7 linked regions of the Xenopus tropicalis genome follow. The protein of the gene in region 3 binds, or shares a complex with, the protein of the main gene of each other region. Links are inferred from orthologs where the notes say so. Each region holds a gene or a part of one and is shown on either strand. Other genes may lie near its edges. The genes, in order: nup205, nup93, ranbp2, cetn3, nup107, nup214 and nup160.

The links.
Region 1: ranbp2 (region 3) and nup205 share a complex: the UniProt entries of both Homo sapiens proteins name them as parts of the nuclear pore complex. The link is inferred for Xenopus tropicalis from reciprocal best matches to the Homo sapiens genes RANBP2 and NUP205.
Region 2: ranbp2 (region 3) and nup93 share a complex: the UniProt entries of both Homo sapiens proteins name them as parts of the nuclear pore complex. The link is inferred for Xenopus tropicalis from reciprocal best matches to the Homo sapiens genes RANBP2 and NUP93.
Region 4: ranbp2 (region 3) and cetn3 share a complex: the UniProt entries of both Homo sapiens proteins name them as parts of the nuclear pore complex. The link is inferred for Xenopus tropicalis from reciprocal best matches to the Homo sapiens genes RANBP2 and CETN3.
Region 5: ranbp2 (region 3) and nup107 share a complex: the UniProt entries of both Homo sapiens proteins name them as parts of the nuclear pore complex. The link is inferred for Xenopus tropicalis from reciprocal best matches to the Homo sapiens genes RANBP2 and NUP107.
Region 6: ranbp2 (region 3) and nup214 share a complex: the UniProt entries of both Homo sapiens proteins name them as parts of the nuclear pore complex. The link is inferred for Xenopus tropicalis from reciprocal best matches to the Homo sapiens genes RANBP2 and NUP214.
Region 7: ranbp2 (region 3) and nup160 share a complex: the UniProt entries of both Homo sapiens proteins name them as parts of the nuclear pore complex. The link is inferred for Xenopus tropicalis from reciprocal best matches to the Homo sapiens genes RANBP2 and NUP160.

The regions. Positions count from the first base shown.
Region 1 is NC_030679.2:6,640,523-6,644,684, reverse strand, and holds part of nup205 (nuclear pore complex protein Nup205), read left to right. Parts: intron 1-282; coding exon 283-488; intron 489-2,698; coding exon 2,699-2,881; intron 2,882-3,056; coding exon 3,057-3,107; intron 3,108-4,162. UniProt on the Homo sapiens protein: Plays a role in the nuclear pore complex (NPC) assembly and/or maintenance. May anchor NUP62 and other nucleoporins, but not NUP153 and TPR, to the NPC.
Region 2 is NC_030680.2:43,613,739-43,618,594, forward strand, and holds the start of nup93 (nuclear pore complex protein Nup93), read left to right. Parts: upstream 1-1,909; 5' UTR 1,910-1,917; intron 1,918-4,856. UniProt on the Homo sapiens protein: Plays a role in the nuclear pore complex (NPC) assembly and/or maintenance. May anchor nucleoporins, but not NUP153 and TPR, to the NPC. During renal development, regulates podocyte migration and proliferation through SMAD4 signaling.
Region 3 is NC_030678.2:109,312,525-109,317,415, reverse strand, and holds the start of ranbp2 (ranBP2-like and GRIP domain-containing protein 4), read left to right. Parts: upstream 1-1,890; 5' UTR 1,891-2,122; coding exon 2,123-2,194; intron 2,195-4,891. UniProt on the Homo sapiens protein: E3 SUMO-protein ligase which facilitates SUMO1 and SUMO2 conjugation by UBE2I. Involved in transport factor (Ran-GTP, karyopherin)-mediated protein import via the F-G repeat-containing domain which acts as a docking site for substrates.
Region 4 is NC_030677.2:178,970,571-178,975,514, reverse strand, and holds the start of cetn3 (centrin-3), read right to left. Parts: upstream 3,227-4,944; 5' UTR 3,201-3,226; coding exon 3,184-3,200; intron 1,801-3,183; coding exon 1,665-1,800; intron 624-1,664; coding exon 509-623; intron 1-508. UniProt on the Homo sapiens protein: Plays a fundamental role in microtubule-organizing center structure and function. As a component of the TREX-2 complex, involved in the export of mRNAs to the cytoplasm through the nuclear pores.
Region 5 is NC_030679.2:58,837,084-58,841,245, forward strand, and holds part of nup107 (nuclear pore complex protein Nup107), read left to right. Parts: intron 1-587; coding exon 588-664; intron 665-801; coding exon 802-861; intron 862-1,695; coding exon 1,696-1,841; intron 1,842-1,920; coding exon 1,921-1,969; intron 1,970-2,052; coding exon 2,053-2,122; intron 2,123-2,261; coding exon 2,262-2,380; intron 2,381-3,862; coding exon 3,863-3,901; intron 3,902-4,162. UniProt on the Homo sapiens protein: Plays a role in the nuclear pore complex (NPC) assembly and/or maintenance. Required for the assembly of peripheral proteins into the NPC. May anchor NUP62 to the NPC. Involved in nephrogenesis.
Region 6 is NC_030684.2:12,402,412-12,406,573, forward strand, and holds part of nup214 (nuclear pore complex protein Nup214), read right to left. Parts: intron 4,088-4,162; coding exon 3,936-4,087; intron 3,436-3,935; coding exon 3,237-3,435; intron 3,131-3,236; coding exon 3,060-3,130; intron 2,119-3,059; coding exon 2,055-2,118; intron 1,904-2,054; coding exon 1,800-1,903; intron 771-1,799; coding exon 664-770; intron 522-663; coding exon 455-521; intron 1-454. UniProt on the Homo sapiens protein: Part of the nuclear pore complex. Has a critical role in nucleocytoplasmic transport.
Region 7 is NC_030680.2:15,984,022-15,988,183, reverse strand, and holds part of nup160 (nuclear pore complex protein Nup160), read right to left. Parts: intron 4,007-4,162; coding exon 3,784-4,006; intron 3,373-3,783; coding exon 3,294-3,372; intron 2,938-3,293; coding exon 2,823-2,937; intron 1,629-2,822; coding exon 1,467-1,628; intron 659-1,466; coding exon 581-658; intron 422-580; coding exon 318-421; intron 1-317. UniProt on the Homo sapiens protein: Functions as a component of the nuclear pore complex (NPC). Involved in poly(A)+ RNA transport.

The sequences.
Region 1 (4,162 bases), on a different chromosome or scaffold from region 3:
AGAATTGCCTCTGCTAAAAAACACACAGAGACAATTATCATTAAAGTATAGCAGCTACTAGTAGCTCCGTGTGTCTTCACCCTAAAGGATTGGGGTAATATATTTCGGTGGCCAGGGCTGCTGAACCCCCAGATTCATACAGTATGCGCTACTGAGCCTGCACACATGGAATCCTTTGCTTTAGTTGCCATTTTTTAATATAATATGCATATGCAATGTTAACTACTTTGCAATATATAATATTTTATGGGAAAATGATAGGCCCTGTTTTCATGATTTCAGCAGAGAGCTTGCAAGCTGCAGGGGGTAGCCCAGTGTCCTGGGACCACTTCTTCCACTCTTTGATGCTGTACCACGAGCACTTGCGGAGGGATCTACCAAGCACAGACAGTATACACCTGCGTCACCCTCCTCTCCGTGGTATCACCCAGCGAGAGCTCGATGGCCTGATTGCCTGCTTGCAGCTCACCCTTACCATCGTCGATTGGGTAAACACCGCTTTGGCTTCTAGATACTATATAGTCTGTAATATAGGTCATTCCTTCATAGTTACATAGGGTTGAAAAAAGACCAGAGTCCATCAAGTTCAACCCTTCCAAGTAAACCCAGCACACACAACCTATACTTACCAATCTATCCACTCACATACAGACCCACACTGACCTATCTATCCACTCCCATACAGACCCATACTGACCCATCTATACACTCACATACAGACCCACACTGACCTATCTATCCACTCACATACAGACCCATACTGACCTATCTATCCACTCACATACAGACCCACACTGACCTATCCACTCACATACAGACCCACACTGACCTATCCACTCACATACAGACCCATACTGACCTATCTATCCACTCACATACAGACCCATACTGACCTATCTATCCACTCACATACAGACCCACACTGACCTATCCACTCACATACAGACCCACACTGACCTATCCACTCACATACAGACCCATACTGACCTATCTATCCACTCACATACAGACCCATACTGACCTATCTATCCACTCCCATACAGACCCATACTGACCCATCTATACACTCACATACAGACCCACACTGACCTATCTATCCACTCACATACAGACCCATACTGACCTATCTATCCACTCACATACAGACCCACACTGACCTATCCACTCACATACAGACCCACACTGACCTATCCACTCACATACAGACCCATACTGACCTATCTATCCACTCACATACAGACCCATACTGACCTATCTATCCACTCACATACAGACCCACACTGACCTATCCACTCACATACAGACCCATACTGACCTATCTATCCACTCACATACAGACCCACACTGACCTATCCACTCACATACAGACCCACACTGACCTATCCACTCACATACAGACCCACACTGACCCATCTATACACTCACATACAGACCCACACTGACCTATCTATCCACTCCCATATAGACCCATACTGACCTATCTATCCACTCACATACAGACCCACACTGACCTATCCACTCCCATACAGACCCACACTGACCTATCTATCCACTCACATACAGACCCATACTGACCTATCTATCCACTCCCATATAGACCCATACTGACCTATCTATCCACTCACATACAGACCCATACTGACCTATCTATCCACTCACATACAGACCCATACTGACCTATCTATCCACTCATATATAGACCCACACTGACCTATCTATCCACTCACATACAGACCCACACTGACCTATCTATCCACTCACATACAGACCCATACTGACCTATCTATCCACTCACATACAGACCCATACTGACCTATCTATCCACTCACATACAGACCCATACTGACCTATCTATCCACTCATATACAGACCCACACTGACCTATCTATCCACTCCCATACAGACCCATACTGACCTATCTATCCACTCATATACAGACCCATACTGACCTATCTATCCACTCATATACAGACCCATACTGACCTATCTATCCACTCATATACAGACCCACACTGACCTATCTATCCACTCATATACAGACCCACACTGACCTATCTATCCACTCACATACAGACCCACACTGACCTATCTATCCACTCACATACAGACCCATACTGACCTATCTATCCACTCACATACAGACTCATACTGACCTATCTATCCACTCACATACAGACCCATACTGACCTATCCACTCATATACAGACCCACACTGACCTATCTATCCACTCACATACAGACCCACACTGACCTATCTATCCACTCACATACAGACCCACACTGACCTATCTATCCACTCCCATACAGACCCATACTGACCTATCTATCCACTCACATACAGAACCACACTGACCTATCTATCCACTCACATACAGACCCACACTGACCTATCTATCCACTCCCATACAGACCCATACTGACCTATCTATCCACTCCCATACAGACCCATACTGACCTATCTATCCACTCACATACAGACCCACACTGACGTATCTATACACTCACATAAATAAACTATATATACACAAACATTAATACGAACTGTAGATATTAGTATCACCCCCGGATGGTATCCATAGAAGCACATGGATTTTCAGTATGTGTAGGCCAGGAGCAAGCAGAGCAAATTGTCTGCTTTTCCTCCATCCTATTTATTTTATATGGTGTGGTTTCATAGTGACTTCTTCTTTGCTGGCAGAGTGAAAGTGCCCGCCTTGCTCTGTGTGAGCATGCCCAGTGGATGCCAGTGGTCGTTATTCTTGGCCTCCTGCAGTGCAGCATCCCACCACTCCTTAAGGCTGAGCTCCTGAAGACACTGGCTGCATTTGGCAAATCCCCAGAGATCGCAGCATCCCTCTGGCAATCCCTCGAATATACACAGGTATGTAATGTATTCTTTTAGCTAATCACACTGGCTGGGTGGCAGAGTATAACCGCCAAAAGCATAAGACAATAAGAGTTATATTATGTACCCTGAGTACATTTGACAGAATATAGCAGGAAGTGTGAAAATGTACTTAATTTTTTAATTTTTTGCTTTTTTCTTTTATTAACAGATTTTGCAGACTGTAAGAACCCCAGGGCTACGGCAAGGAGTCGGGATTGAGGTAATTTTGTGTAATAATAGTGTAACTTTTCTATGCCACACTATTATATCTGTTTAATATGCATTGCTTCTCTGTATATTTGTATTTATACATATGGGTAGGTGGTGCCATATTGTTTCCCTTAGACAGTACAGTATGGGGGTACAGCTTATTGTGTGCCCAGAACATTCCTTCTCTGTATATTTGTATTTATACATATGGGTAGGGGGTGCCATAGTGTTTCCCTTAGACAGTACAGTATGGGGGTACAGCTTATTGTGTGCCCAGAACATTCCTTCTCTGTATATTTGTATTTATAGATATGGGTAGGAGGTGCCATAGTGTTTCCCTTAGACAGTACAGTATGGGGGTACAGCTTATTGTGTGCCCAGAACATTCCTTCTCTGTATATTTGTATTTATACATATGGGTAGGGGGTGCCATAGTGTTTCCCTTAGACAGTACAGTATGGGGGTACAGCTTATTGTGTGCCCAGAACATTCCTTCTCTGTATATTTGTATTTATACATATGGGTAGGAGGTGCCATAGTGTTTCCCTTAGACAGTACAGTATGGGGGTACAGCTTATTGTGTGCCCAGAACATTCCTTCTCTGTATATTTGTATTTATACATATGGGAGGGAGGTGCCATAGTGTTTCCCTTAGACAGTACAGTATGGGGGGGGGGGGGGGGTACAGCTTATTGTGTGCCCAGAACATTCCCTCTCTGTATATTTGTATTTATACATATGGGTAGGGGGTGCCATAGTGTTTCCCTTAGACAGTACAGTATGGGGGTACAGCTTATTGTGTGCCCAGAACATTCCTTCTCTGTATATTTGTATTTATACATATGGGAGGGAGGTGCCATAGTGTTTCCCTTAGACAGTACAGTATGGGGGTACAGCTTATTGTGTGCCCAGAACATTCCTTCTCTGTATATTTGTATTTATACATATGGGTAGGGGGTGCCATAGTGTTTCCCTTAGACAGTACAGTATGGGGGTACAGCTTATTGTGTGCCCAGAACATTCCTTCTCTGTATATTTGTATTTATACATATGGGTAGGAGGTGC
Region 2 (4,856 bases), on a different chromosome or scaffold from region 3:
GCTGAGCTGTGTAGAGAAGATTCCCATAATGCAACGCTCCTGCACAAACACTATGACCAGATCCTTAGCTTGCACATGCGCACACATCAGGAACGCTCCCCCTAGCGCCTGTTTGCTATGGCGACGCAGAGGAGGACGCAGCTGGCAGGATCGAGGAGCGGTGAGCACGGGGGGGGTGATCAGACTGCTGACTGAGTGTGTTGGGGGGGAGTGAGAGCAGGGATCAGCTGGACTGGCTTATATTTTGTGCCATGCTGAATGGGGGGAGGGAGCAGGGGGTGGTGATGACTGGCTTGTGCTTTTCAGTGCCATGCTGAGTGTGTTGGGGTGGGGGGAGCGGGGACCTGAGCGGGGGGGGGGGGGGGTTGTGGCAAGTTGGTTTGTGAGCCAGAAGGCAGCAGGTGGGATGCATGTGCAGTAGAGATGGTTAAAAATGGTGGCACCATTCACTGAAACAAGTATGTAGTTTATAGTATGTGTATCTCTGTAAATGTTTCATTAGACAAGCCACAAATATAGCGTTTTTACACAGGAATAGTAGTACTATTTAATAGTGTGCTTAATAGATTTTGACTTTCCTTGTTCTTTAAAGTTGTCCTCTAAATTGTGGAAAATATTGCCTTAGTCTTCATATAAAACATTAAATGTGCTTTTGGAGCCCTGGATCATTCTGCTGCAAAACTGACAGGGAACCGGCATGTTTATGAATTAGGACAAGAAGAAAAGATTTCTTCTAGTTGATTGCACCCATGGCCAACTTCTAAACTAGTTCTTAAAATACATTTACAGCCCAAATATAGAAACTGACCATAAGTAGATAGGTAGGCTATTGGCCAGTCTCTCATCACATAAAGAGAGCAGGCCTTGCAGTATCCCCACAGAACCAAATTCTACTACACAGTGACAAATGAAAAAAACAGAAAATTGCATGTCATCTTTTTTTATTGCTTTTAAAATTACAATTGAAAAGCACAAATTACTGTTGCCAACCATGAACAAAAGTCTGGGACCCTCCAACACCACTAAAAATAAAAAGCCTAAAAACTAAAGATTATTATTGGTACCCATTGTCTTCTCTCAAACTAAATATTTAATGTTGTCCCTAAATTGTAAAAAAACATCCTAACTTTTCACATAAAACACTGGATGTGCTTTGGGGGCACTAAATCTTTATGTTTGGAAATTGGCAGGGAACCTGCACATTTTTGAATTAGGACAAGAAAAAAAGTACTTCTGGTTGATCTAACCCATAGCCTTCTAAACTAGCTCATGTACCCTCCCTGGAATGTGAAAATCCTGCCCATTGTTTGCACAAACATACTGGGATCTAAAACCACCATAAAAAAGCAGAAAATACCAAGGTTCATTTTGGTGAAAGTCACCCATTGCCTTCTTGGTAATCAGCCAGTTTGTAAAAAATCTGCTTCTTGTTTACAATACACTGGGACCAGCAAAAACACTTTCCTTTTCGGTCAAATTTGACGAAGAGGCTCTGACAGCGGTAAATACTGTTGGCAATCAGGAAAATGTGTCTTTTTTTCATTTCCTAGCACAAGCTTCAGCTCTGAGTGGAAAATAGAAATTACTTCTGATAATATTGAGAATTACGGTGGCGAAAGGAATAGTAGGCAAAAAAACATGAAAGAAGTCTGTTTTGTTCTTTAACAAGAGTAGGAGGTGCGAGCAGGGCAAAAACCCAACTTGATAAGACCTGGCGCCGCTTACTAACAGCTTACGATAACGTACCGCTCAGTTACGCTATCTCTGCTTGTCACTTCCCACAACACGACTGACTACATGACGTTTGCGTGCGTTACGTTAGCCAGACGTCACAGTCTCGCGTGACGAGACTTTTGGTGTCGGGATTTTCTGTAATACAGGAGGCGGGAGCTTGCAATTGACATCTTTGCTGAAAGTGTGAGTAGTGTTCCTAGGGCTGTGTTAGGAAATGCGAGTGTCTTGTAAAAAGAGGGACTATTGGGCAGTATGAAATGGGTTCCAAAATGTGTTTAGTATAAAGGTTGAAGGTAGCAGCGATAGTTACTACCCATTAATGCCTTAATAGGGATTTATCTTCTGTCTATTTAGTCACGTGTATCATCCGTTCACAGTCAAATACATGCATTCTGAGGGATTCCTTTTGTTTCAGTATGTGCTTTGAATATCATATTTATGTTTTTGTGCCAATAGTATAATTAATAGGTAATAAAATATGTGAAAAAAAATTCTTAAAAACGTGGAGCTGAACATTAGTGGAATAATGAATGATTCCCAGCAATGCATTATTTTTCTATTTAACAAAACTCTACTGTCCTGGCAGCCAGATGCCATTCTGTTCTGTGGGGAGATCATCTTCAATGCATAGTGGTCCATTTTGGAATGAATCTTTCCAGCATAGAAAATAAACATTGGCTGTCAAAGTTTTATTAAGTTGAAATTTGATTGCTGGTCAATTTAAATTGGTCAGGCCTTTATCAGCTCAAAAGACTATTTATGAATCAATTTTTATACACATCTAATACTGTTTAATTAGTGTTTAGTGGTTTTTATTATAGAGGTGAAATGGTTAAACAGTAGCAAGAATTGATAATTGTAGATATAAATGCCTTTCCAGAGATGAGTTTTAGTTGTCATTGTTCATGTTCTTCCTCCACTGGGAAAATGTACCCAATTGTTGAGCAGTTGTTATCCATCAAAATGCTTCATATTCAGTTTCCTTTTTGAAAGATTGTTTTCTAATTACCCCAGGTTAAAAAGTCTAAAATGAAATTGGAAACACATTTATTTTAAAGATTTGTATTAATTAGTTTTCTCAACAACATAAACAGACAGTGACCCAGCATTATATGAACAAAGCAGTAATTACAAGGGTTCAGATTATATTCATACACAATTTAGACACCTGTTAGGCAAACAGATCTGCCTCAAGGCAGGCATTAAAACAGGAATCCTATCCTCAAACTTTTTGGGGCTTCGTCTAGTAAGGGGTGCCAGTTTTATAACTGATAGAATGCAATTAATTAGATTTGCTTAAAGGAAAACTATACTCCCAGAATGAATACGTAACCAACAGATAGTTAATATCATATAAATAAGTGGCCTATTGAAGAATCTCTCCAAACTGGAATATATATATATATATATCAGTAAATATTGCTCTTTTACATCCTTTCCCTTGATCCACCATTTAAAGATGCGCTGTGGGTACAAGAAATAATGTGGGAGCAAAAGGCAATTTTCTATTTAGGGTTACCCAATAGCACATACTACTAAAGAAGTATATTAAGTATATTTTTATGAAAATTATTTATTTAGAAGAAACAGGGTTTTACATATGAGCTTGTTTATGCAATATATTTTTATAGAGACATACATTGTTTGGGGGTATAGTTTCCCTTTAAATTGCTGACCTGTGGTTGGTTGAAGAGTCATCCACTTTATTGTACCAGTTTTTTGGCATAGAAATATAGTGTTTTTAGAAGAGTTCTGGATTTATTCATGTGGGCCAGATCATTAAAGGGGAACTCTCAAAACAATTTTAAGTTTTTTGAAAGCAAACATAATGTCAACCAACTTTGTAATATACATCAATTAAAAAAATATGCATCCTTTTCATGATTTTTAATGTAATAATTTGGTCAGACCCCTGTTCTTCTGCTGATCTGGCTGACTACTTTGAGACTCAAATAAATTGTAATAGTAGTAGGCTGCCTTCAGCCTGCATCCTCTATCCCACTATTCCCTGCACACTTGATGTCAATAAGGAAAGGAACATCACATCGCAATGCATTGGGGCCATGTAGTTCCTGTAAACTGTGGAAAAGTTATTTGTAACATCAATGTCTCCTCCCCTGCCAGGATTTCAAATAATACAGAAACAGTAGAATTTTTTTGCAGCTGGTTTTCAGCATATAAAAATGGTTTATTTATACGTTTTGATTACAGTGATAGGTATATTGTGGGTTTCTGTGTTCTCTGGGGCTCTTTAACAAATTTTGGTTTGGAAATAATTGTATATTGTAGGGCATGCCAATAATAAATGAAAAGCTGCCCATGGCTTTCAGCTTCAGTGGTGTGATATATGTCTTATGAATTATACTAAATTGCACCATCTTTCTTTGGTAGAAATGAAGTAGTTATAGAGGTCATTTGTCATATTGTCCCACATATTATTATGTAAGTGGGAATCACCTTCCCACTTGTGTTTAGCCATCTCAAATGGTGCTTCTAAAGAGGATAGCAGTATTTTAAATAGGTCAGATTTCAAATTATTTGGGTTTTGGTCCCATAATCTAAAATTAAGAGATAAGATCTTAGTGGTAACCAGCTGGGGGGACCAACCTCGGCAATGAATGTATGGCGGTAGCAGTATAATTGTTATAAGATAATAGTCAGCTAATTTATTTTCTTTGTAAGTTTAGTCAGGTTTGGAAAAGTGTCCTCGACCAGGAGATCTTGTAAGTACCAGATCCCTAGTTTGCACAAATACTGAAAATCTAGCAGAAGCAGGAAATTGTGATAATTGGTGTTTCTCCATAAGGGAGAGCAGGGTAGTGGTGGGAGGGCAGCCTTTGTAACTAGTGTAGAGGTCAGTGTCCTCGCTTTCTATGAGTTCATCAATATAGGGGGTATCTTGGGTGTCTTTGGCTTTTCTGGGATATCCCGTAGCGGGAGGTGCACCCACTGGCCACTCATTGCTTTAAAATGATGCATCATAGGTTCAACATAAATAATATAATCGTTGGTATTTTGGGAGATAGTAATACCTAGATATTTAAACTTAATAACCCATTTTCAGCCCTGGACCTTGCCTTTCTCTAGGTCGGAAGTAGAGGGTTGATTTACCCTTGTTAATA
Region 3 (4,891 bases):
GGAAAGCTTTAGAGCATAGTGGAGGATGGAATCATAAAGAACTTATATAAATATAAAGAAGAACCCCAGTACTGCAGCTACAAGAAAATAGCACGATGAAAAAATGTAACAAAGTAAATGTAATGACATAAATGATACAAAATAAGTGTAACAAACAAAGTGAGAACATTTTCTAGATACAAATTGAACAATGAATAGTATCTGATGGCACAGTGAATAGCAGAGCACGATGCTGAAAATACTTAAAGGAACAGTTCAGTGTAAAAATAAAACTGGGTAAAATGGATAGACGCAAAATAAAAAATGTTTGCAAAATAGTTAGTTAGGCAAAAATGTAATCTATAAAGGCTGGATCAGGCAGATGTCTAATATAACATAACAGCCAGAACACTACTTCCTGCTTTCAGCTCTCTAACCTCTTAGTTAGTCAGTGACTTTAGAGGGGGCCACATAAGACATAACTGTTCAGTTAGTTTGTGAGCACACAGGTCAGATTCAAATGCAAACTAACTGAACAGTTATGTCCCATATGCCCCCCCCCCCTCAATTCACTGGCTACTGACTGCTTACAGCTTAGAGAGCTGTAAAGGAGGAAGTAGAGTTCTGGCTATTATGTTAGACATCTGCCCATTCCAATTTTTATAGATTACATTTTTGCCTAACTAACTATTTTGCAAAACATTTTTCATTTTGCGCAGTCTGTCTATTTTACCCAGTTTCATTTTTACACTGATTGTTCCTATAACATAGGCAATTCACCACATAGGCTGACCGCACTGTCCTAGTAACACTCACTGTTTTGTAAATCCAGCCCTATCTACTGGGCTGTAGGGGAGACATTGTTAAAAGAGTGTGGAGACTTATTGCCCATGAATGTATTTAGGGCACAAAGGACAGAATGCCGATTACATAAAAGGAAATGTAGAAAGAAATCGCCAGCGCTCGGTCTAACCCACGCTGTAGTGTTAAAAGGATAAAAGGAAATGTGTCAGTTTGTTTTGAATCTATAAGGAGAATTGCATCCCCAATAGAATTGGTATTTGCCATATCGGGAGAACTGCATCCCCATTCCACTGTGAATTAATCTTATCAGGGAAACTGTGTCCCCATCAATGACATGAGATCTGTTAGTCACACAGAAATTCTTATTGGTTTGTAACACCTAAAACAGTATTTAAAAGCACGTCTTCCATTACATAGGCAACCCTAGTGGTCCTAATCAGGAGAACTGCGTCCCCATCATTGACACAATATATGTTTGTCTCATAGAAATTATATTGGTATGTATCGCCTAAAATATAAGAGCCCATCTTACAGTAAAACAGCCAGATTTCAACAGTTAGAAAACCAAAGCAAAGCACCTGATTGGCTGTTATGGGCAACATGACTGATAATGTCTTACTCCACTTTTTACACAGCAAGATAAATATGGACCCGTAACTGGATGCATACTAATAATAATTTTTATGAGACAAACATATCTGGTGTCAGTGATGGGGACGCAATTCTCCTGATACGATGTTTACCTGGCTGGTAAAAATGTTGCTGGATGCCAATGTAGTTAAAAGTGAAAAAAACATTTAAAAAAAATGCTGGTACGTCCAGAAAAGGTAGAGACCCTATGTAACGCACTAATATGTCAATGACAAATAATGTACTAATCAGCTCGTGTAGTGATTTTTTTCGAATTTTATTTTCCTATTTGCAAACGCTATAAATTCCATCAGCCATGAACTGGTATAGCAATTTAAGAAAAATAAAATGCACGGTACTACCTGATATGCATCACAAAACCCCCCTTCCAGAATCCAAATACAGATACAATTCCTGTCACTCTAAGCATATACACACCCTTCCTTCGCCTTACGTTGTCGCTGACACATAAACTCCGCCCCTTTGAGGCAATTGGCCATGAGGAAGACGTCAAACGTCAGCGACACCGTATCGCCGGCCTCCACTGGGGGAAATTGTCTCTATGAAGGCGTCACATCCGCTTTTTACGCGCGATCCTGAAGTTTGTTTTCCTGCTGAGGTAGAAAGCCGGGGCCTCGTGGTAAAGACCGGTGGGAGAGGAGGGAACGGTCATTAGACAGCAACGATAAAGGCCGGTAACTTGCCCAGCATGAGGCGAAGTAAAGCAGAGCTCCAGAGATACATAGAAAATGCGCAGAACAGCGCGACATCACCCAGAGAGGTGAGCGGTATCATGAATTCGCGCCCCCGGGCCTTGAACTGTAATGGGCAGCAGTGCCTCTTACCTGGGAAACCATTCTTAGTTTAAGCGCTTGTGTTAAAGGCTCATTTTTACCCTGGAGTTGCACAAAACGGCAGCCTCCTCCTGGGAGATGTGTAGGGCCTTATAATACAGACCTGTCAACCTTCTCCCATGTCATTATTGTGATAAGGATCCATTCCTGGGTTTCTTAAAATCTGATTCCTCTTCACTCTAGATGGTAAAGTGTTGTCACAGAAATGCCCAGGTTACTTGAAATTTTGGCAGTTGCTTTGAAGCTTGTGGGTATGGATTAGGTTTAACTCTGTCGCACCCCAGGAGACCAGTAAATACTGTATATACATTTAACAATGTACACTACAGAACGAACTACAGACAGATGTATTACTTAGTCAATAAAAATGCCATACAGAAAATATTTTTTGTCAAGCTACCAAGCATTTCTTGTCACTCTTGTGTCCCCTACTCTGGCTAAACCTTAAGGGTGAAGACACACTGGGCTACTAGTAGCAGCTACTTTTTCAAGGCTACTAAACTCCAGAAAATACCCTGCCATAGTCAATACTGAGAATTGCCTCTGCTAAAACACACAAGACACATTAGTTGAAAAATTTGAGAACATTAGTTGAAAAATTTGAAAACCATTACAAATTTATAATGAATGTATATTGCAAAGTTGCTTAGAAATGTATTTTCTTTTATTAGGCAAAACATTTTTTTGTGCTGACATGTCCAACACAACAATTTAATTCCAAATAACATAAAATAAAACATGCCTTTCAATGCTGACATGCCAGGACAGATGTGTATTTTTTCTTGAAATTATGACTTATTGGCTTTTATTATATTTATGGATAGACCGGTCTTTAGATATATAATGGAGAAGAAGTTCAGCATTTGTAAGTTTACTTTACTTATAAAGCAGTGTGCTGTTTATGCCAATAGTCATACAGGAAACAGTGTACATATTTTGTTCACTGTGTCTAGATGTTGGGTTATCCTTCTCTTTTTTTTCTCCCTTAAAATCCAGTATATACTAGGATCCCTTAGAATACAAAATATACTAGGGAAACATTTGTTATAAATGAAGAGATACAGTCACTGCGCATTACAAGCATTTTCAGCATGTAAGGTTAAAGGAGAAGTGAAGTAGAATTGCTGGGAGGTGGTAATTGTTTTGCTCCCCCAGTGATTTCTAATTGCTAACCTGGCAGCAATTCCCTTGAAAAAAAAACGAATCCGTTCAGATACATTTATATACGCCTATGAGAACTTCCCAAATCCTTCTGAGAAACACGTATCATTGTCATTTCTAATCCAGGGAAGAACCTATCCCTTTATTCCTCATACAGACCCACATCCTATATTTAATGTTGACATCAAAATAATATCCGTAAACTCCACACTAATATGCACACTTAATTAATATTTTATTATATAAAGGTTTTGAGTAGAAACTGATTATGTTGCTATAGCTAGAAGACCCTAAGGTTTATGGCCCATAGGGGGAGAATAGTTGCCCACAATAAATCTTTGCTACCACGAGCGACTAATCTGCCGAGAATGCCTTCCCACTGGCTATAATGGTATTTGCCAGTGGGTAGGCATACGCATTGCTATGTCAACCAAAGTTTCCTCACAAGGAAACTTCAGAAAAAAGATGCAGTGCATATAACTTTTTTGGCTGTAGCCAAGATTAACAGCAGGTGACTAATTTCCTCATGGTCCCTTACCTTGGGGCAGTGGCACACAAGGAGATTAGTCAAATCTTCATTACCGCAGGCAACTAATCTCCCTGCAGTGCCAACCCAACGGCAAGAATGTAAATCACCAGTGGGATGGCATACGCGTTGCTTTGTTTTCCTGAGGTCGCCCAAAGTTTCCTCGATAGGCTATCTCCCTCGTGTGCCACTGCCCTTAAAGACTCCCTGACAGCAGTACTTCATCTAATGACTCGGGTTCTTCTCAGCAAATTAACTGTGATCCTGCTATTTGATAACCACACAGCACAACTCGTAAACCCACAATTTATTTCTAAATACCTAAATGTGTTTAGTATTTAAAGGTTCTAATTCACAAGTTCATATTTTTAAACCTTAACCCACTTTTTCAGTCCTGAAAGACCAATTGCACAATGAACCAACTTTCCCCTTATGCAAATTGGAAAAATTCATATTTGTAAAATGAAATACCTTCCCATGTTGTAATAAGTTCTCAGTAAGTTGCCTACTATATCCCTAAATCTAATCTAAGTCAAGCAGATTCCATCTAGAAAAAAAATACATGTTAGCCTGATCCACACCATGTGGTCCAATAACACACTTGACACTAATCACTCTTTGATACTGTAAACGCTGCCTCTACACTGCAAGGCCTGTGCTTTTTGTTTACATAAAAACTTATAAAGACCCAGATAATGCACTTATATAGATGCTACCAAAAGAACCTGAGCTACTTTGTACAAGATTTTTAACTAGTAAAACATGCTGTCTCCTGATATGCCATCTTGACAACTCTAGCCTTCTCTTTATTTTTTTCAACATTTGCTAAATGTGATACCTGTGTTAAGTAGGTAAAAAAAAATACCTTATAAACAGAGGGTACTTTCAAGTTTCAAGTAAATTACAATTGGTAATTATGATGGTATTCTGTTTTGTG
Region 4 (4,944 bases), on a different chromosome or scaffold from region 3:
TTTTTTTTTTACCCGGCCTGGTGCACCGAATATTCCCTTGTGCTGTATCTTTCATGAATTCCACTGCAAGGAACCACATGACAAAAAGCAGCCTGTTCTTTTCAAGGAGTTTGTACTCTCTCTGACGCAGGGAAGCGACAGATGCAGATAGAACACAACATGATGCATTTCATCTGCATTTGGTGCTTCCAGACAGCACAGGGAGTACAACCTTAATGAAAAAACACAGGTTGCATTTCTTCATACAGTTCCTCGAAGTGGAGTGAATGAAAGATAAACCTTAACTAACCTAAAGTAAAAGTTTGTCTGTAGGAGCCCTTAGTCAGTGCTAGGGAAGCCTGGAAAACGAAAGTGCATTGGTGGAGTAGCACTATTTTGTTTCTCTGAACTGGTCAGAAAAAAACAAACCAAAACGCAGCCACTGAATTCACTGGGTGGGAATCTGGCTTGTGGCTGTTAAAAGTGATGCATAACTTAGGGTATGTTGCAGTCATGTTTTCCCACTTACCAACTTCATTAAAATCATCAAATGTAATTTTGCCTGTTGTTTCACCATCATAGTCTTTAAGGATTTTTAGGACATCTGCTTTTTTTACATCAAATCCCAGAGCTCGCATTGCTACCTGTAAATAAAATACATGATTATGTATGAAAAAACTCACCCTACTATCACCCTTGCAGGCCGTGTATTTTATTTATTATAAACAAGACCCTTGGTGCTGGCTGTGTTTTATTCTATATATATCTATCTATATATATATATATATATATATATATATATATATATATATATATATATATATATATTTATTACAAAAAAAAAAAAAAGACACCAGCAACACGGAAATTTGTTTAAACCACAAGACCCTTGGTGCTGGCTGTGTTTTATTCTATATATATCTATATATATATATATATATTTATTACAAAAAAAAAAAAAAAAAAAAGACACCAGCAACACGGAAACTGAAATGTACTGTTATATTTGTAATCCCTACTGATAACATCCCCAGCCTGCACCAACCACCTCTCCCCGCTTCCCCTGTATCCCCCAACCACTCTATAAACCTGCCTACTCCTACTCACCCAATCACTGCTTGATCCACCACCTCTGCATCACAACTTGCCCCTTTTTTACATCACAGCTCCTTAAGCCCTCAGACATCATCATGCTGCCACTTTTCCGTCTCGGCTGGTATTGCCCAAGAGAAAAGTTGGCAACCCTATCCCGTTTCCATACAATCAACCATTAACAGAGAGTCAGGCCATTTTAAGTATCATTTAAGGGCTGTGACACACGGGAAACTTCGGCGACATCGGCAAATCGCGCCGCCACGTATGCCATCCCATCGGCAATTTACATTCTAGTCGGTGGGATGGCATTTCGGGGAGATTAGTCGCCCGCGACAAGGAAGATTAATCTCCCCGTGTGTCACAGCCCTAAAACTCATCTTGTCATCAAATTTATAATCTAACCTGCAAACCACTTGGATCCCTAGCTGACACTGTAAAGCAATTACCCACAGCCAGATAAACAGAGAACCTCTACACCCAAACATGCCACCCCCACCTAATGACTCCCTCCTTTAAAGCCCCATGGCATGGATTCAGCTTGGCAGAACACTAAGAACACCAAGTCCAAATCTTGGAAAAAGTTTTATTACCTTTAATTCATGATAATCTATTGCTTTATCTTTGTCTGTATCGAATAATTCAAATGCATCTTTTATTTCCTGTTTCTGTTCTTCTGTTAATTCTCTTCTTTTCTTCTTTTTCGTTTTGTCAACTGCTAGATCAGTCCTGCGAGAGACGTGAGTTACTAACATAAAACATACAAAGCACATAACACTGAAACTGAATTTTCCTGTTACTCTGGCCTGGTGGTGGTTGCACTGTTTAACACTTTGTGTGCTGTGCCCTTTTGATCTTCCTGTTGCCATTAAACACACAGTGCAGCATATTTCAAAACAAATAACAGGCTGTTGCTGCTAGCGCAGTATGTGGCTTTTCAAGTATTACAGAACTACAACCCCCAAGTAGTTACAACTCCTCATCTAGTTAGCTGACATTTCTAAACACTTGGAATACAAGTGGGACAGATGTACTGTGTTCCAACCTGGGAATCTGTTCTAATCTGGGATACAACTAGATATACAAAGTGTTTATATTCAAGGATCTGCACACCTGTAGTAAATACCTGGAATGGTGGTTTTTAGCCTTATTTAGTTTACCTAAATAAGGAATAAGCATTGTACCTAAATCGCACCCTAATTCATATAAACTATTCCTGGCCCATAATTTAGGATAATGTACATTTTTACAGATGAGCCCAAAAATGATTTGTTCACTAGTGAAACACCAACATAAAATCCCAGAGTTGTCTCTAGTGAAAGATCCCTGTCCCCCGGCATAAGTCAGCTGTGATGATGGAACAGAACAGAAACATACAAGAAATGAGAGCATTTCCATATGCAGCTTGCCATACACGTAATGACTTGCCTGTGTGGTCAGGGCAACATTTGCATGGATCCTCCCTTAGTTCAGCCACCCACACAGAGAGCCAAATAGCCAAATGTACCCGTTTACGGTTTTGCATCCAGTCAGGGGCCAACCAGTTACTGTCTTTTTAAGAAAAGCCAAACTGCTCATGTATTGGCACACTTATTCACTCTATGGGCCAATAAAAGTGTATGGAATCCAGTGTAACATCTGTACCAGTTCTGTCTCTGCCGGCCCCCACTCTGATACACACTAATATATATATAATCACTTTATATTTCACTTTCACATTACAAAGGCATTTACACAGACAAGATAAGTTCTGACACAAAGTGCACCAATAAATAGCCCCCTGCTAAGGGAGACTGATGGGTAACAGTTTCAGGGGAAAGGAACACATACATGAGGCTCAGAGCACAAAAGGTAAGTCAAATGGCAAAGGACCTATTTGGCGTTACACTTGTAATTGTTAGTGTATTAATAAAGAATATCCAATCTGCAGCTCGCCAGCTGTTGTTTAACTGCAACTAACCCCATCACCATGTGGCGCTGAGAGTTTCAGTATAACAAAAGCTGGAAGTAGCACAGATAGGACACTGCTATTTTATATAAACCTAACTCTATAGGGGTCCCAGCCTTCCAGCGCTGTGAACCCCCTTTCCTTTGTGCTTCCAATGCACCCACCTCACAGCCAAGCTCATCGCTCCTCCGCTACAGACGCACAGCGCTGCCACACTCCCTCGGTCAGCCGGGGCTGCTGTCCCACTTACAGGCCTAGGCGCCACCTCGTAAACACAAGGCAGCGCCTCCGATTGGCTACCGTTACAACTTCTCCCCTAGCAACGGGATCAGCCTGGCACTAACAGCGCCTTGTGATTGGAGAGCAGTGAGGCGCTTGGGGGAGGTGCCGGAAAAATGAGCTGGTTACTAGGCAGTGACGTAACAAGGCGCTTGGAGTGTGACAAGGAGCGGGAAGCTCAAACTCATGCACAGTGCGAGAGAAATGCAAGCGGCCCCGTAACGCTTGAATAGTACACCTCCCGGCATGCTTCACTACCTTACAGCGAGCTAAAGCATGAAGGGAGCTGCCACCTAACCCACATATCAGGGCTGAATTTTAAAGTAAAAATGATAGAAATATATTTTGATAGTAACCCCATTCCTGTGTAAATCTGGTAACATACTTAGTTTGGATGATTTACTCATACCTTTTAGCAGCAATTCATGCTCCCTAATAGCTTCCACGTTTTTTTATTTTAATTGTGTGGTTGCCAGTTAGTGTAAACTATTCCCTAAAAATGAATATGGCTAGAAATGCCATATTTTATATAAAAAACTGACTGGACTGGCTTAAGGCTAATTTGGAGAGTAGTAGTCAGCACTAAGCCTTGTGATTAGTTAGAAGTAGTGCAGGTTCCCCAATGGCCACTTTCCATCGGCATATCCTGGTACAGAAGAACAGGAACAGCACCTCTTGTCTTTGTAAATTAAAATGCCTTTATTGCAAAGTTTTTTGGGGCAAACAACAACAGCAGCAACGTTTCAGGTCACATAAGACCTAAAGGTTGCTGCTGTTGTTCTTTGCCCCAAAAAACTTTGCAATAAAGGCATTTTAATTTACAAAGACAAGAGGTGCTGTTCCTGTTCTTCTGTACCTGGCTTAAGGCTAATGTCAGACCAGGCCGAATGAATAGAATACGCTCGGGTGCAGGCACATGTAGCCGATACCCATATAAAAACGCAAGAGAATGCAAAGTCTTGCACACGGGCGTATTACATACATTCGGATGCAGGCACAGGTAGTAGGTGTATGGCGGCATTTACGGCATTTTCAGGTTGCCAAAAATATACACCATACGCCTTGTCTGACATTAGCCAAAAGTTTCAGCATCTCTATAGTAGTAATAATATAGGTCTTTACAGTTGTCACAGGAGCTCCCCATTTTGGATTCTGTTAGAACTGTCGGGGGCAGTGCACATGTTCGGTGAGCTCTGAGAGGCAGTTGAGAAGCTGAGCTTAGGGGTCATTGCAAATTATCAAGCAGAAAATGACATATGTCTGTCATATAAGTGGATTCAACAGGGTTAATTATTCAGTTCTGATGCAGTTGCCCTTGTTTCAGATTGCCCTGGTTTTAATACTATATAGAGGAAAAGGAAATCATTTTTAAAAATTTGAATTATTTGCTTATAATGGAGTCTATGGAAGATGGCCTTCCTGTAATTCAGAACTTTTTGGATAAGGGGTTTTCAGATAACGGATCCCATACCTGTATTAGCTCTTCCTTGTCTGCATTTTTCCAATCTGCAACTGAACATGCAATCTAGTTGAGAGAAGGGTCACTGACCCAGGCAAACGGACCATAAAATTACAAATCTGGAACTGTGCGACTTGCGACTTCAGTTCAAGTCCCAGCAGTCCATATACATAAGAACATAATGATG
Region 5 (4,162 bases), on a different chromosome or scaffold from region 3:
TGGGGCCAAAAGGCGAACTGTCTGATCATCCTCCCTGATTACCCTATCTGATATAGGTTTAGTTCTAGTTTTACAGCATGTAAAAGGAATATTTGGTAATTATTTATTTATTTTTTTGTTTGTTTTATATAAATAAAGATATTGAAAGAACACACAATAAATATTGTTCACAATTACTGACAGTCATGGTGTCTCCGTGATACAGAACAAAAGTAAAAAAAAAAAAAAAAAAAATGGGGAAGCAAATATGCATCGGAGAAATACACAAAGTAATCACATTAACTTACATTTGTACAAACATACAAGTGCTATCCCATCCTGGTATAGAGTTTATTTATTAAGCGAATGTTCAGGAGACCGAAAACACAGTTGGTTAATATCAAGCCATGGGCTCCATATTTTATCAAATTTATCTGGGCACCCTCGGGCCTGGTAGGCGAGCTTGATATAGGTAAGAGTTTTGTTAATTAGATTGACCCACTGGGTGACTGTTGGGGCATTGTTTCCCATCCAGTTCATTACAACTACTTTTGTTGGCATAGTACAGAGTTAAAAAAAAATAAAAAATTATATTTTCTCTTTTAAAGGAACTGAACTGCAAGCTGTGGAGGGAAATCCATATAGATGTGTGTGGAAAACCTGCTGTTGGCGCATGGCAGAAGATGTAAGTTGTAAAATGCTAAATATTAAACTTGCTAGAATGTTCTTTATATAGTACCTTGCTCTTGCCTTCCTATACATGTGCGAGCACGGGGTTTCACTTTTCACGTGAAAAATCTTAAATATTGTCATTATTTTTAGGAACAGTTCAGTAAATATGAAAGAGCCATCTATGCAACACTGAGTGGAAATCTGAAACAGGTACATCATGTTTTCAGTCTGAACTTCTTACAGTGCAGTTATTGTTGTGATCTGTCCATATGTAAGCATATTATTTACACATGCTTTCTGTTAATTGATTGGGCCAGGTATACCGGGCCAGGTATACCAGACCAGGCGCCATGCTAAAAATTCTTATTTGAAGGTGACTAAGCACTCGAAACATGGGAAGAAAAGGATTTACTTGCTGTTTAGTACAAAAATTAGGTGAAAAATCTAGGACTTCATTAGACAGTGATTTTTAGCTAATACCCAAATCGGTTTTGCAAAACTGTAAAACACAAGTACACTGCCTGCAATGCACTGCACCGCACTTAGTATGTCTTAAAACGACAGATAAGGAGTTAAAATTGAGGGTTCCACTCAGTCAGATTTTGTACATACCAAACTGGTTACATATACACCTTTCACTATGGGAATAATACTGCTGGACAGATTTTCTCTTGTACTGTTCTTCCAGTTGTGCATTCATCCCTTCCACTACATACAGGCCCTGATGTCCTTTGCCATTTTTTCTGCTTCTTTCTTCTGCTGCACTAGTAATCTTACAAACACTTATGCCTTATTAATAAGACATGGGGTTTGTGTGGTAAACACAAAAAATGGCCCAGTACCCATTCCTAAATACACATTTCTTTTATTGGTAATAGTAGGCTATTCCAAGCAGCTGGTTAATTTAGTCATACATTTTGTTCTTTTCAAATTGATTAATTTTTCTGCAATTGCATGAAAAGTGCCATTTGCTTTGCTTTGTTTTTAATATGAACTGGATTTTGCTTCTCAGTATTTTGAATTGCATGTGCTTTTTGTTCCCAGCTTCTTCCTGTGTGTGAGTCCTGGGAAGACACTGTTTGGGCACATTTTAAGGTTATGGTGGACAGTCTGGTAGAGCAAGAGATCAGAGCATCTGTCATCTCAATTAATGAGGCAAATGAGCTTCCCAGAGAGTATTTGGAGGCAAAGTAAGTCAAGCTCTTTATTTATGTGTCTGAAACCCGTATCTGGCTTCCAAGTTTTAACTGTGTTTTAATTTTTTTAAAGCTGGACTTTAGAGAGAGTTTTTGAGGAGCTTCAAGCCACAGACAAAAGGGTATAATATTGAATGCCTTCCTCTTGATAATCGTATTAAAATTAAAAAATGATATGGTTTAAACAAGTATTGTTGCTTTTCAGAGGGTATTGGAGGAAAACCGTGAACACTACCATATAATTCAGAAGTTCGTTATCCTTGCAGATGTAGATGGTAAGTTTTATTTTAAATAAAAAGAAAAATTAAAAACATGCCTGTTTAAATCTCTCAGGCACTCCTAGTTTCCCTGTCTGGCATCCAACACTTCCTGCACCCCAACCCAGGAACTACTACTTTCTTCCATTAAATACAGGTCTTATGGATGAATTCTCTGAGTGGTTGGCAAATGAAAAAAAATTACTGCTGGGACATCTTCTGAGATTCATGACACATCTGATTTTATTCTTCCGAACTCTGGGACTACAGACTAAGGTAGTGTTTGTGTTTGTAGTTTCTGTGTCTGCCTTTTTTTAGTATATTGATTTTAGCTGACTGTATATCAGATATTGAGTCATGAACTGCGTTCTCTATAGAATATTTGCTTATTGCTGCTTAACAATAATTCTGTAGCATAGAAAATAACAAAAGGCAAATGGATATTGTCATCATATGAAGTAATTTACATTTACTACTCTTCAGAAATATATCTTTGGGCCCTGCACACAATATATTAAAGCGCTGGCTGAACAGTACCATTTAGAACAGTGCTGTCCAACTTCTGTTGTGCCGAGGGCCGGAATTTCTCTAGCATATATAATGGAGGGTCGCTAATGGAAGCCAGTTTTGATCACTCCCCTTTTTTAAACTGCACCCACTTCAAACCACACCCATGTTATCACAAGACTATGCCCACATTAATGGTGGTAGTGCAGCAAAAACCCAAATGGTTGGTGCTCACTGTGGGGATATCAATCATCATTCATATGTAAAAGAATTATATTATGTTATATTAAGACACACACTTAAGTCCATATGCCTCCTCCTCCCCTGTGGATAGCACAGCAACCCCCAGAACATAATTACACACCTTAGGGACCATTTAATAGCTATTTCCAACTACTAACAAACTCCCAGAACAAACCTCTGCCAGGTTCACCTCCTGCAGGCAGAATAGGGCAGATAGGGCTGCCTGTGTGTGCCATACTCTGCCTGCACTATGCTGCCTGTGTGTGCCATACTCTGCCTGCACTATGCTGCTAGTATGTGCCATGCTCTGTCTGCCCTATGCTGCCGGTGTATGTGCCATACACAGTATATACAGTGACACAATGCTGGCACTGTTCCTACAGTCTGAGGTGTGAAGAAGTGAACAATGTGGGTGGTTACAGCCTGAGCCTGAGGTGTGAACAATGCAGTAGGTGAACAATGCAGAGAGTAAAACGTGTGAACAACACAGGGGATTACATGTTTAAACAATACAGGGGAATTACAGCCTGAATCGGAGGTGTGAACCATGCAGGGGACCAGTTTATCTCAATACTGATACCATTTAAAGCTTACACAAAGGTAAGCCATCAAAACAGCCAGACAGGTGGGGGGGACACACAGTGGGGGGTGGCGGGCCACCGGTTGGACAGCGCTGATTTAGAAAACACTCTCTTATCACGGCATGTGTTTTTATTAGCAAGTCCTAACTTAGAGTGGACACAGAGTGTTTTCAAGAGTGGACGCTTCTAAAATTGCCACTGTTCAAAACATGTAAAAAATAAATAAATAATGAAATAGTTTGCAGCACAGTCCCTGCAGTTATGGATATGTACAAAGCCTCATGTGGGGTAGAAACCTATAGCCTAGGTACTGAAGCAACAAAGTAATTAATTTGCAGCTGACCCATCCCTTCTGTTTGTTACTTGATGCATCCACAAGCATTTTCTATGTATTTTACTAATCTGCAACAAAAGAAATATCTTTTAGGAGGAGGTCTCTGTGGAGGTGTTGAAGACTTACATACAGGTGAGAGGAGTTATATACTTGAATATAGTCCATTTTTTATTTTTTTTTTCAATTATAATTTTTATTACATTTTCTAAATTTACAACACAATAGAAATTAGAAGGAAAACAAGACAATTCTCATTAGGCGTTCTGTTGAACTTGTATTCCATTGATATTGAAATATTTAAGTAACGTAAGAGGAGATAAAGTGGGAGGGAGAATGGTCGGGTGGGGATATGCCTTTATAGTCACTAAGAGGTTGGATGTTTGTAATACTTCT
Region 6 (4,162 bases), on a different chromosome or scaffold from region 3:
CTACTATTAATCTTTCACTGTTATTGTTTTTGATTTCAGTTATGCATGCAACATAGGCAGCAAAGGCCTTTATATATTTGCAAATTAAAGTTGACCATACATTGAAAAATCCGCGGTTTGACAAGGTTGCCAATAAGCAGATCTTTCCCTGATATGGCCAACTTGAGTTGGGCGATATTGAGGGCCAAACTATTGGATCGTAATTGGTGTATGCAGGCCATCAGATCAACATCTGGCTGATTCTCCGCCACGTATTGGTCGGGTATGCCTGTCAGAGGGCCACATATACAGTCCATTTGCAGCTTCCATTGACCCATGTATGGCCGCCTTTAGCTTGGTGTCGGCACTGTAGAAAGCTCCGATTTAGTTATAGACTGAATAGGAACCACAATATGCATCTATTTAAACAAAAAAAAAAATATAAAAAAAAGAAAATCAAGGCAACTTTTATTACCTGGTCAGGGGGCCGCGCAATCACACCAACATCTACTGAGGCTGCTGATGCTGCCAACAGAACCTCCCTAGAGGGAAAAAACAGAATAATAACAAAGTCTCTGGCTGTGCACAGAAATGCCAGGAAAAGTGATTCACCAGCATTTTCTATGTTGAAATCATCAGTTCACAAATGATTATTTTGCCAAACAGTTTCCAAACACCACTCACCAATCCTCAATATAATTCAGGAAGAAATGGTGCTGTCGCTCACTGCAGATACTAAAGCACATCTCTGTGAAGTTCAGGAACCTCTCTGCTCGTTTGTCTTCTTTTTTCTACATGGATATAAACAACTTGTATGTATGTATATCTTTATTTATATAGCTTTACACAGCACTGTACAGCAGATAAATTAATTAATACAACAAACTGGGGGTCAATACAATAATAAATAAATACAAAGTAAAATAATAAATACATAGTACAGTTGCATTTAGGATTCCCAGGAGTTAAGTGTGAAAGAGACAAGAGGACGGAGGTCCCTACACCATAGAGATTACAATCTAAATGTGATCTAAATCTAATATTCTGTGGCTGTCTGCATCCAGTCGGGAAAGACAGCTAGAATAATCAGATCAACAGCTCCTCTTAACTTCCATATATACATTATCAAACTGGCCGATCACAGAACCAACTGATATCCAAAGTAAAGGCCATACACAAGGCTTCATATGATTTTAATCAGTACATGTAAAAAAAATCTAATCAGTGAACAGCCTCTTTGAAATCTTTAAATAACTGCCACTCTGGTTGTTCAAAGGTTAATAGTAAGGCTGCAGAATCCCCTTAGTCATTTAGATTTCCTTCACCTTCTCTAACCCATTCGGCTCCCTACCTCAGGAATTTATTTTGGGTATTGGCTACTGAGCATGCTCAGTTCTTCTCAGCTCAGATTACTAAACATTCCCTCCAGTCTAGTAGCCAATGAATAGATGGTATGGCTGGATCCAAAAAAAATTCTGCTCTAGTTGTCTTTTCTTCTAACCTCCTGTCTTGAGCCCAGCTTAACCATTACAGTGTTCAATTCAAGCAGAACTTTTTATCAAAGTAAATTCTGCCTGTGTAAGCCCGCATTATTTATTGCATGAACTTTACAGGGCACACGTGCTATTTGCAGATGTAAATGTCACTGATGATGATGATGTGTCAGAGGGGAAAATGGCTGCCAGGTGAAAGCTGCTATTTGTTATAGGAAAATGTGATGGCACTGGAAAACGAAGGGGATATATGCAATACAAACTATTCTATACGGATGGGGGAGATGTGCCTATTTAGAATAGGTGAAATGGGGGAAATGCACATACCGGAAGTATCACTACAACTAGTTGGGGAGAGGCTTCTAATGATCCGTCAGCGGCAGCATACACCACAGTGAAGACATAAGTACTGAGCCACAGCACATCCAACACTGGAAACAAAACAAATGAAAAAAAAAAACATGAATAGGCTTAGGTGACAGTGCTGTATGGTAGTGGTGGATAACGATACACGTATGCACCCACACATACACCAAACAAAACACTATAAATAAACAACAGGAGAGAGTCTATGTGCAGCACCTTTTACAGGGTTATCAGGGTCGTAACACGAAGGGCACGGGATCACTTTTTTCTCCTGAAGACTCTGAAAGCAAAAAGGAATTAATTTTGGTTGGGAATACTGGCATCAATAAAGTCTTTATCTGCTCACTTCCTGCAAAAAAGAACTTGTCAAATAGTCAGTGGAGTTCAAAGCAACATATTCCCACCCAAACACAACTTCTTTTTAACAAGAAAACATAATTTCAAGCAACTTTACAATATACATCAGTTAAAAAATATGCATCATTTGATGCAAAAATAGAAGAACTGTTTTGCAGCTGGATTTCAGCATAAACAAATGGTAAAGATTGATACTTTTCTGTGTTGTGTGGGGCTCTTTAACACATTTTGGTTCAGAAGCCCTTTAAGGCAGTATTCTAGTCTGCAGTAGGAGTGGACACTTTTGATGCAATATGACATAAGCAAGGCTGATTCAATGGCATATCAAAGGGTAAATGGTTGGCTAGCCAGAAAAGGAATTATTAGGCAAAATATATGGGAAAAGTTCTGTTATTCTATTAAAAATGGTTGCTATACAGTAGTCTGTAGCTATAAAATGCACTCTACCATTTTAAGTGACTGCAGGCAGGGACTAGGAAATAAAACCCTATCAGATTTTGTTATAAAGGAACCCAGAACATTTCCCCAAACCGGTTTCCATTTTCTTGTCCTTTAAACTCGACAATCTAGGGCTATTTATGTCTGGATCCCAGTGCTGCCATTGGTTTAATAGCAATGTCACTGTGATTCAGACAATTTTAAACAGTATAAGAGATTTAATATGGATCTGTGAGCAAAACAGCTGAATGAGGAAAGTGTGAAAAAAAAAAATCATCAGGCTTTTGTCCTCTCCGAATCTGCAACAGCTCGGAGCTTCAGGCTTTCCCTGTCCTGATACAGCGTCACCATCCTTACAAGTAAGTACTGTGTGTAATATATACAGTTCTGTAACTTCTGTTCTTAAAGTGTGTGAATATCACTTACCGGCAAGTATTGTACAACTGTTCCATTCTGTTTCCCTACTGCTAACTGCTTCCCTTTGGGGCTCCAGCAGACTGAAAAAAAAAAAGGAAAGGAGACATATTTACAATTTTCAATAAAAATTATTACAAAAAAAAGGGCCAGGAACTGTCTGGCCAAACCGAGTGTGATGCCACTTACCTGAAGTCACCCCCAAAGCAGCTGGGAGGTTGGCAAACATACTGACTGTGTCTGTGACTTGCAGGACAGAGATGCTGCCATCGCTCAGACACACTGCAACCATCGTGGGTAAGGCAGGATTCCATTGTAGGTCTGTAACAGAGCTGCTGGGATCTCTCAGCAACTTATAACTTGCAAATGGGGTCTTCTGCTGCTTGGACTGCACAGAAAAGCAAACAAATCAATTAATGGGCTGCCATGTAGCCGAAATGAAACATATCAATGGATTTCAGTATTAACCATTAATACTACAACCTGGGATCCTTCACAGGCCACTAGTTAGAACATCAGACTAGACAGCAACTTCCAATATGGTGACGACACAAGCTATATTGGCAATTACACTGTACAAATTACCAAATGCAAGCTACACTATTACATCTATAGAAGGGTAAAAAGTGCTGGATTTTGCAGCCATTAAAGCCCCTGTACACTGAGGCAGAAATTAAACACATGGACAGAGCAGGCTGAAGTCACTGCCACATACAAGAATGAGAAACAGAAGAATGTTGCATCCCAAAGACTCAATACATTGATTTCTAGCAGCAAAATTTTCCTGGCAAAGCTAATGCAATTTAATTTTAAAACCTATTCAGAAAGCACCTGTTTATTTTTGAGACTGACAGAAATACTAGCTTTACCTGGAAAGTATATAAATACCTCATTCAGCAGCGTCCGAACATCATAGAAGGAGACAAAAGTTCCCTGTTCAGCAGAAGTCATACAGACGGATAGTGTCAGATTGTCAGAGCTCAGGGCCAAATGGTGAATGGGACAACTCATAGGCACGTGTATACCTTGGGGTCCCATAACTGCAGAGGAAAGTAACAGAAAACAATATTAAAATGCAGCAATATAGTAGTTAAAAGTTTTTCTTTAAAAAAAAA
Region 7 (4,162 bases), on a different chromosome or scaffold from region 3:
CCTTAAAAATAAGTTCATGTAAAATAGCCCATCAGCAGAACAATGGGAAAGGAGCAATATAGCAGCTCCCGGTAGATATCGGAATAGCACTTAATAGTAACAAGTCCGGCTTGGGACTCCTTCAGTTACATGGGAGTAAGAGAAACCATAGCATGAAAAGCAGTTCTAATGTGTAGCGCTGGCTCCTTCTGAAAGCTCAAACTCAGGCACAATGCACTGAGATGGCACCTACACACCAATATTACAGCTAAAAATAAATTATTTGCTATGTAAACAGTGTCGCACAGCAGATATACACATACGTACTGATCACTTACCGTTCAAAATTTATGTGTTTCATGACTGTTTGGTTGTCATCGTCCAGCCACAAAGCCCAAATGTTCATAGAAGATAAAGTAAAAGTGAAGTCGATGAGAGTTTCCTGATCAGAAAATAGGGAAAAAAAAAAAACGTTTTATAATGAAACTATGACAAACGGTGACACCGAAAAGATCTTAAGGCGTTGCTGAAGCGGGAAGTCGGAATCCATTTCAAATGCTATTTTACTGTTTTGGGGGAGTTTTCTTAACAACTTGCTTACCTGATTAGTGAATATTGAGGAAGTATGCTCCAAACTGTAGCGATTGCTTTCCGTGCACACCAACTGGAATACACAGAACTAGGAAAAGGGACAAAAGGAAAAACGGTCAACTATTTCTGGTTGCTATGGTCCAATTTACGTCTGGTCAATAAAGTAGCAATAATAATAAAATTGTAGCCTCACAGAGCTATAGTTTTTTTTTGCTTGTCGGGGGCAGTGACCCCTTCAGAAACTATAAAAGATAAAATCAAGACCAATTAAAAAGTTGCCGTTTTGGAACGTATTAAAAGTTAACCCAAACAACCCCTTTAAGTCCTTCCACCTTAAAGTAAGTCAACATCTAATTCCCATCATGACTGGCACAAAAGAAAGTTCCATGACTAAAAACTTTGGAGCCTACTTGAGAGTTTCTAATTAGAGACAAGAAGAAATAGCCAACCATTGTGCCTGACCAAGATCTGTGGATGCAATGCAAATAACAGGACAGTAATAGCATCACAAGAAATAGGACAGAACTTATGGACACAAAAATGACAAGACAATAATTCAGGGGTAGGGAACCTATGGCTCGGGAGCCAGATGTGGCTCTTTTGATGGCTGCATCTGGCTCTCTGCCAAATCTTTAATAAAAAAAATAACAGGGGGCGTGGCCTGCGCTTGGCGGATAGAAGACGTGTTCTAAGCCTCAAAACACGTCTTCTATCCGCCGAGCGCAGGCTACGCCCTCCTCCTCATCCTTGGCACCCACCCTACCTTGCCCCGCAGCCCAACATATTGTATGGCTCTCACGGAATTACATTTTAAAATATGTGGTGTTTATGGCTCTCTCAGCCAAAAAGGTTCCCGACCCCTGCAATAATTAAAGAATATCCGGATTCCAATTTACCTGTCCTTGTCTGGGTGTGTGCAAATATACCCCAAGGTAAAGTATTTCTAATGTATCTGAGTAGGCAAGCCGCAGTTTGTGTCCTGTCCCAGCTGTTTGACGGATATCTTTGCTAACTGGCACATATTCCAACATGTCGGCGACCATAAGGCACATTTGATCCTGGGAATAAAGCACCAAAGCTCATTATTTATTTATTTTTTTAAAGGCTTTAGCTTTGTTTGGGGGAAAAAAAAAATTACAGAAAGAAAAGAAAGTTACAATAGAACCAACAAATCAGAAAGTATTACTGCTAATCTCTACCACCCTTAACTATGATACAGGCTTATTAATCATTTGTTTGGAATTCTATAGGTTTGTCGTCAAGGCCTCCAGATTTCTATGCTGTGTTTTCTAACTAGCTTAAAAACATGGAAGGGGTCATTTATGTTGCAGAATGCAGTATGCAAAGTGCAGCTTTCCTCAGGGCACAGATGCTTGTTAGATGGCCACTTTTGTGTGGCCCTCATTTCTTAAGCACTTGTGCTCCAGGGAAAAGTAAAGGACCATGACGTCTGATGTTCGCAATATATAAAATGGTCACAGTTCATATTAAAGGACATGTCAACTCAAAAAGAAAACGTAATTCTAAGCAACTCTGTAATATACAATCATTACAAAATTGTAACAGTTTTTTTAAAGTTATTTGTATATATTATTGCTATGAAAATCAATGTTTGTCTGTCCTTTTCTATACTTTGCCCTGGTGGCTCTGGCTTTTGAAACAATGTAACACAAGCTCTTTAAGCACGAAAACATTTTTATAAAGTCACAATCGAAAGCTGCTTAAAATTTTTTTTTTTTTTCTAAATGTCTTTTTAGTTTTAGCAAGATAATGAAATCTTAATATGTTTAAGGGTAATTACACAATAAAATGATCTAATTCAGAAGAGGCTGGCTTAAGTCATGTGGCACACACAGCCACACCAACTCTCAATATAGTGCTGAGAGGGTCAGGAACAACTCAACTGGAACTGACCCTAACCCCAAAATGTTGCCACTGGTCAGACCAGCACCCATCTTGTAATTGCATATCAATGGCACCTGTATAATCTAGTGAGCCAGTGAAGATGGAGAAGCTGGGATTTTTGAAGCAATAAACTTAAAGCAGTTTTACACAGTACTATGGGCATTGCAAGAACAGTATGACCCACAGCCAACCTGAACCAGCATTGTGTGCAGACATTTTGGCCCAAACCGCTCAGGTTTCAGGCTTGCTGCACATCACTATTATAATATCATGCCAAATACCGTTATAAAGACTGTTCCATCTGTACAAACCACAGATTATCTCAAAATAATTTAAAAAAATCTCACCTTGTATGACCACATGCGGAGTTTATGATCCTGACACAGAGCGAAGAGGTAGGAATCATGATCAAGTGTATGAACTGCAAGGCTTACAGGAAGGTGCGCCGGACCCGGGTCACCTCTAGGCACATAAATTCATAATTACCATCTTGAGAGCCACAATACCATACAACAGTTTATCAGTTACTACTTTTTTTTTTATATGGGATACAACCCAATGCCCCCAATGAACATAGTAGTAAAAGTGCCATGTAATCCCTACATGATTTCAGCAACCAACTGTTAAAAGGAAAATATTCCCTAGTCCTGTAAATGTAATAGCAATCACCTGATTAAACTGACTATAGTGTGTGTGTGTTTAACATGAACCTTAGATTGTAAGCTCTACTGGTTGCAGAGACTGATGCAAAAGGATATAATCCCTGTAATGAGTTTTGGAATATATCCAACCTGTGAGACCACCAAGACATCACTCACCGTATAGATGAAGGCATCCACCCTGTGAGAAGTCGCTGCATTACAGAACTTTGTTTCAATTCTGCAATGGTCACAAGTCCTACAGAAACATGAAAAAAGGAAATATACATATAGAAACATAAAATTATGCCCCCAAAAGTACAGCAGGTACACCTAAGGTACAACAAAATGTGGCCATCTTACTCACACCATTCTCTAGGTATGTAAATGATAGTCCTGACCAAAAGCAAAATGGCCCAACAACATTAACATCCCAGGCATAAGCTTATAGGTTTAGTGTACTTCCTTGTCTATCAGGTCCACTCTCTAGTATTCTACAAGTTTGTTTTTTAAGAAATATTGCCCAAAGAAATAGGTGAATGAAAGGCTTAGACAAAAGGTGAAGGGGGGGAAACTGTTCAGGAGTGGGGAGGGAGCGCTGTCCAAGGATTCTATTTCATCAAAGCCTTTCCATATTCTTAAAAATAAAATGTTAGGCAATCACTAGTACCTTCCATGTCACGAGGAGGCATTTTAATTACAAGAATTCCTCCTGAAACAGAGGGGAGCGCAAACAGTGCCTCTCCATCGCTGCTTAGCCATGCCGTGGAAGCAGTAGAATTGGGGGCTCGTCCAGGAATAGCTGGAATCACATAGGTGTTGTTGGGATCGTGGAAATTGGTCTTCCCAATGTCAGTAAATATTGATTGAATGTGGCTGTCTGAAATGATTTCCTGGGGGGAAAAAAAAAATATGACATTAAAGTAAATATATGTCAGTGAATAATTTCCAATGTCACTGAACATAAGGTAACGTGACATAGCCAAACAAGCAGATCAGTGGTTTTCAGACTTTTTTGGGTTAAAGTCTCCTTTGAAGGACAAAACTTT